Arabidopsis thaliana: one gene and its partner. The protein of the gene in region 1 interacts with the protein of each later gene in a pairwise test. Each region holds a gene or a part of one and is shown in the gene's direction. Other genes may lie near its edges. The genes, in order: GIS2 and URO.

Region 1 (3,373 bases):
TGGAGACTTATAGTTTACTTTTGGAGAAGGAGAATAGTATGATGGAGGTGGTGGAGAAATATAAACGTATGGTTTTGGATGTGGCGCGTACTTAGGGCTTTTGTGTTCATGGCTGGGAGAATTGTAATGTGGGGTTTGAGGGGATGAGTAAGGAGAGGAGTAAGGGTATGATGTCACTGTAGCCGCAATGGCACTTAGGACCACAACGTAAACCATGCAATGCCCTAACCCCATCGTTCTTGAGGATCTCATCATACCCATCTCTTTATTTTTATTTATTTGTTTTGGTTTTATGTTATACTTGAACATGAATACCATTTATATAGTCTTTTTTTGTGTGTGTAAATATTATACTATCTTCTCAAGTTGGCTTCGTGTGTGGCACTTCCAATTACATTAGAGGACGTGCAATGTTGTTTGTTTGAAATAAAGTAGCAATTCGATCGTGGAGAATATGAAATTTTATTAGATCCTCAATTTTTGAAATATTTGTTCGTTTTCTTTTGTTTGAACTTTGTCAACTCAAATAATTAGAAGAACAAAAGACTATTAATGATTATTTTAGCTATTGAGAAAATTTTTGTTTCATAAATTTTATGTGACAAGGGAAAAAATATTTTATTTCTCTTATGATGAATTAAAAGGCTGTGTATTAACTACTGCTTTTGTTTCTAAAGGATTATTGAAGAATTTTAGGGTATATTAGAGTTGCTTAAGCTGTTCTTCTTCTGTTAAAGCAACTGCATGCGAATCGATCGTGTGAGCAACGTTTGGTTCACGACCATGTTCTTTCCTCATGGGCGACCACTTTCATGATCCATTATAATAAAACAAATATGACGAAGACAAATTAACATAATATATCGTCACTGTTGCAGTTTGTTATGGAGAGTAACATTAATGAATCTGTTTTTAACAAGATCGTACTTCGAGACGAAAAGCAAAATCCAAACACAAAAAAAAGTAATCGCGCAGATGAGGAAACAAAGATGTGACACCACGCAGTTTACCATCTAACTACATTAATTTGAGGGATCCACCTGAAAACTTGTACTATATGTTAATTCATATGCATGGTTGTTTTATTTTACTTTTTGGTCTTGTGGTTAGTATTACCTACTCAAAAATGAGGATTTGATTAGATGAGGCAACATACAATTTGATTAACTACTCAAAAACATGGTTGTTCTAAAACTGACCATAAGGAAGAAAAAAATGTATATATATCACGACAGAGATTTGAAGTTTTGGACTAAAGCCTCACACATAGCCATCAGTGTTATATACTGTATATAAGCTGTCACTATTAAACATAGAAACAGGAACCTTAAAGATACAACTATATACTATCTTGACATCAAATACGTGTACTAAAACCTTTTCATAAAAGATGCATTGACATGACATATCAATGATGGTAGTTCGACGGGTAGAAATCATCAAGGCAAATCCGCATTTGAATTGAATGCTCACTAGATTATCTACAAGGAGACAAACCAATTAGCTCACTAGTTTAGTTCAATTCTTGTCTGGCTAATCCTATCTACATATACAAGACTATAATATAGCAAAATTAGAAAGAATATAGCTAGAAACGGGTAAATATATACTACTTACCAAAAACTAAATGTGCCTGAATAGGTCTATTATAGTTAATAGTTATTCAGTGTAAATTATCTATGTACATACCCCATCGGGAATTAAATGCAAGAAACATAGAGGAGACCGTACTTCGAAGTTGCAAATTTAACACTAAGTTGAAGAATCTAGAAATAGAAAGCCAAAATCTTCCTTTACTTCAACTCTACAATTTCAATCTTTTCTCTGTACTTAGCCATCCAGAGTCATAACCACCACTATATTAAAATGAAGACTTATGATTTCATGAACGTCAACTCTTTCTCTCCTAAGGAAAGACCCATTCGCCTCTTTGGCTTCGAGTTTGGAGCTTCTCATGAAGAATCTGAGTCCAAAGACAATTACAACGAGAACAATGAAAGCATCAAAGACGATAACAAAGAAAAAAGATTCAAGTGCCACTATTGTTTCCGGAACTTCCCTACTTCACAAGCCCTAGGCGGCCATCAAAACGCTCACAAGAGAGAACGTCAACAAACTAAACGCTTCAACCTCCATTCAAACGCAGCCGCTTTCTTCCACCGCCAACAAAACCACATTGCTGCTTCTAGGCTCTACGAGGATCGCTATAGCCTTGAAGCTGTTCAAATCAACGACGCGAGATTAGGGTTATGTCGTATGTATAACTCATCTGCGAGTTTTAATCGTGACCGTTCATCTTATTATAATAGATATATTCCTTGGTTCATCGGTGATCACCAGACTAGACCAACGTATGTCGGTGGTGGTAGCAGCAGCCATGGTCTGTTTTACGAGTCCAAGAAGAATGTACCGGACCACGTGAGTTTGGATCTACGCCTCTAGTTCCATTCTTTTAGTATCTCTCTCTAGCTAGTTCTTAAAAAAAAAAAAAGAGAGACTAGTTTTTTTTCCTTCTTTCAAATACTTTTTATTTTATTTTAGTCTACTTGATTAATTATGAATTTATGATAGTGTATCCCCGTAGATATCATGTTATATTAACAGTTAAACAATTTTATGGAGATGAACTTTAACTTCAGATAGTTTCTTTCTGAGATTTAAAGTCTTAAATATTATCGACGCATTCCAATCTCAGAATAGGTTTATATCTCACATTATAAGTATAGAATTGAGAATGGACCTTAACCCATGAAACTTAACAAAAACAAAATTAACATATGCTAAAATCTTCGGATTGTATTTTAAAATCGCTACTTGAAACTTCAACTTGTATCTAAAAAGGTAAAATTATTAATTGAATAATATAGTGTTTAGAAGCGAAACATTCGTCAATCACATCTAACGACGGTTAAAGTATGTGATTAATTGGGAATATTTAAATGATCGATTTGATAATCAGCAAGACAGCAACCATAAAAGTGGACACTTTAATTTTCGTAAAAAACAATTTGACCTTTTATTTTCTAAAAAAAATATTCAAATATCAAAAAATACGAATTTATTTGTAACATTTTTTTCGATTTTTGTTTTTTAATATTGTTATTTTTTTCATTTGACACATCGTTATTTTCATATTACTTACCATAAACCCATTTATCACCAATAGAAATTATCCTCGAACCTTCTTTTCAACCACACCAGTTTATTTATTTAACATTCTCTTTAGAAACTTTAAAGCATAGCTTAAAGTAGTACGAAACCGAAAACTTAACTAACACATTTGTTAGCTCAACTCTCTCTTTTTTAAAAAAAATCGTCAATTATTTTGCATTTCTTTTTTGACAACATATATTTGGTTTCGAAAGACCGTTTG
Region 2 (3,326 bases), on another chromosome or scaffold:
TAACCGATGCAAATTATTTGCATCAACAATATTTAAGTCACTTATTTAAATGATACAAAATTCTTTTACATCACTTTTAACTAATGCAAATATTTATAATAAATGATGTAAAACAACCTTTTTTTTGTAGTGTCTCCAACACTACATAGAGCATTTCTATATATGCATACACTATTCTTTCAGTTTATTACTATTAATGTTGTATATCACCCGCAAGTCCAAACACACATATAAATATTGAAACTGTTGGTGGATATTTTTTCCGTATGATTCTTTTATCAAGCTTAATTATATAGACCTTACCTTGACCGAGTTTGTTTCTTATCCACATGCCAATTTAGAATATTTGTTCGTGCGGGTTTTATGAAACAAATGTTATTGATGAAAGAAATAAATGTAGCTTTAGGAGGCTAAAGTCTACGATGAGCTGTAGTCCCAAAGTTCTTTTTCGTCTGTTATAAATTCACTAGTGAATATTCTTAAGTCAGTAGGATTCTCACATGTTCTCGAAATCCTATAAAACATTAATGCTCCTGATCAGCTTATAGAAAACGAATGACAATAGTTCTTTATCTAAATCCATAAAACATAATGGTATACTTGTTTTACTATATATTATCTGCATGATCTCACTAAAAAGAGACTACGCCAAAAGGAAGTCAGCCTACATAATAACAAATCTATTCAACTTCCATAATATCATTTTTCTTGAGGCTATAATTATTTTCCATTGCATATATAGAGAGTTTTGATCCATCGTGATTCGTTAAACGTTCTATTATATCCTAAAAAACGATATGGCAATAGCTAAAACCGAACTTATAAAACGCGGTTTCAATCGGTCCATAGAAGTTAAAGGGTACCGGTGTGAACGAAGTAAGTTTATGGAGGTGAATATTATTTTGTCGGTTCTGAAATTGAATACAGTAAAATATTAATTTTAGCAATCCTAAGAGTAGCAGGCGATCGCTCATCGATCGTATTTTTTTCTAAGTTTTATTTTGTTTTTGTTAAAGCATATTTTTCTAAGTATAGAAACCATCGAAATCAATTTCAGTTTTGGGGAGAACTCATAATAAATTTCATAAATGCTATTTAATTAATGAGAGCAATTTGTATATTCTTAATTGTTTTACCTACTTTAAGCACAACCACAAGTCCACAACTCCTTAGTGAATGCTTCTTTTAAAAAATTTGGTTTTATTATTTTGTAGGTATTACATGTTCACATTCAAAATATATTTCACACTATATTAGATTAAATTTAACTAAGCTTTAATATTTCACTAGCTCCTACTAGCCTTCCAATTTTTACAATTTTACTTTGCAATTTTTACTCTCGATCCAAACAAATAAGTACTTTTTTGTACTATATTCAAAGATGAACAACTTTATATTTTTCTTGAACAAAAATGAAATTGAATAGAGAGAAACTAGCTACCCTAACTAGTCACTCGAAACCTTATAAATAACACCTTCTGTAGTTTGTTTTCCTATGAAGAATATTTTTCAACTTTATCTATTATATTATCCTTTGTTAAACTTTCCCTGAAAATTGTTAGAAAATAAACTAATTAAAATAATTCTAAGCATGACGTTTTTGTAGTTATTAATTCATGTTACATTAGACGCACGAATTTAATTATAATACACACCCCCGTAATTAAGTACATTAAAGACCCTAAAGTATATATATTAACCATTGATAAAACAATTTAGCCCTAATTAGTGTCCGTTCACACACATAATCTTTCCTTTAGCTTATATATACGCTGGTGTGTGTTTTTAAGAAGCTTCATACACTCATTTTCAAAACATTGAATACTGAGACTTGAGAGAGATCCCAACAGAAGAAGAAGAGAGAGATGAACCACCGGGACAAACAAATTGATTCCGGCTCTGGCTCTGGAGAAAACCGCCGGACTTATGACTGCGACATCTGCAAGAGAGGTTTCACGAATCCTCAAGCCCTCGGTGGTCACAATAACATCCACCGCAGGGAACGCGAAAGATACCCCTCCTCCTCTTCTTCTTCTCACTCATTTCCATTTTCTCTTCCGTTACCATCTCAGTCTCCCTCCTCCTCCACAAACTTCACAAACCCTCCTCCTTATTTTCCGACCATTGAGTCATACCTACACCAAGGGTCTCAGCCACCTATTAACCCTAGCCACAACACACAATACTTTGGATCATCATCATCATCAAGAGGAGGAGGGAGATTTGCTCAAGGGGCGTCTCATGATCTTAATTTGAGCTTAGGGCTCGGATCCATGAATGAAGATGATGACACTCACCGGAGCCCACCAGAGACCGGAGGTTCTCAACCTCAAGATGGTGATCTTGATCTTGATCTTCGACTCGGCGGTCATCGTCATCATTAAGCTTGCAGCGGTTTCCCTCACGTTCGATCCACGTAACCATATACAATATATATATATAGTTGAAAGTTAATCACCGTATAGTGCATGATGTTTATTGTGGTGTTTATATATGTTTTCAATATATATGTAGTATGATCAAAATATGTTGGACTTGGAGTCATGTTTTTATCATGATCGTATGAAGTTTGGGTTTGTATAATTCAAGACTATATTTTTCACTTAAAAATTATAGATCAAATAGGTTAATTTGAGTAATGTTTTTGTTATACCTTTTTCAAAAAGAAAAAAAAATGTTCTTGTTGTCTGAAGTTGGGTTTGTATAGTACAGGATTATTGTTCTTTTCCATAACTATATATTAGTGTAGATCTATAGATCAAGTAGTTTTGCGTAATATGTTCTAATAATTAGTTACGTTGTATGAAATTTGGGTTTGTATAATCAAAGACTATCTATCATTCTCTTGTATAATATTTTACATGAATTTACATTTCAAGTGGGTTTGTATGAATTTACATTATAAAGTAAGTTTAAACTTATATTATGAATGAATTCGAACTGCAATGGGATAAACATTATATGCGTTTTAATAATAGGTTGGTGAAGTTTATAATTTACACCATTTGAAAAGCCTTCCAAATTTAGAAACTACATTTTTGCAGACCCATGTGAGCTCATATGAATCAATCATAGCCTTGATGTTGTAAAACAAATTATGATTATAAAAATGTGATAGTATATTACATGCATAAAAAATAAAGGAGAGTAAATGAAAGTCAAATCTGGGTTTTATGAACTGAAAGTTGAAGTTTAGAAGTAGAAGTAGCGATCAAAGTATGACCAGTTAAAAGGCCCAATATCATTTGGAGGTTTGATTTTTGGGTTCGTAAATTTCAAGAGCCAGATTATGATTTGCTGGGCTTAAAAATCATGGAAAAATTGAA

What was found.
Region 2: the proteins of GIS2 (region 1) and URO interact in a two-hybrid assay, tested with the Arabidopsis thaliana proteins (one large-scale study listed by BioGRID).

What each region holds. Positions count from the first base shown.
Region 1 is NC_003076.8:2,041,620-2,044,992, forward strand, and holds GIS2 (C2H2 and C2HC zinc fingers superfamily protein), read left to right. Parts: upstream 1-1,799; 5' UTR 1,800-1,866; coding exon 1,867-2,442; 3' UTR 2,443-2,581; downstream 2,582-3,373. Other genes in the region: EXT10 (Proline-rich extensin-like family protein), read right to left, coding at 1-309. UniProt on the Arabidopsis thaliana protein: Probable transcription factor required for the initiation of inflorescence trichomes in response to gibberellin and cytokinin. Is not involved in the regulation of trichome branching. Is functionally equivalent to ZFP8.
Region 2 is NC_003074.8:8,248,714-8,252,039, forward strand, and holds URO (C2H2 and C2HC zinc fingers superfamily protein), read left to right. Parts: upstream 1-1,805; 5' UTR 1,806-1,865; coding exon 1,866-2,384; 3' UTR 2,385-2,770; downstream 2,771-3,326.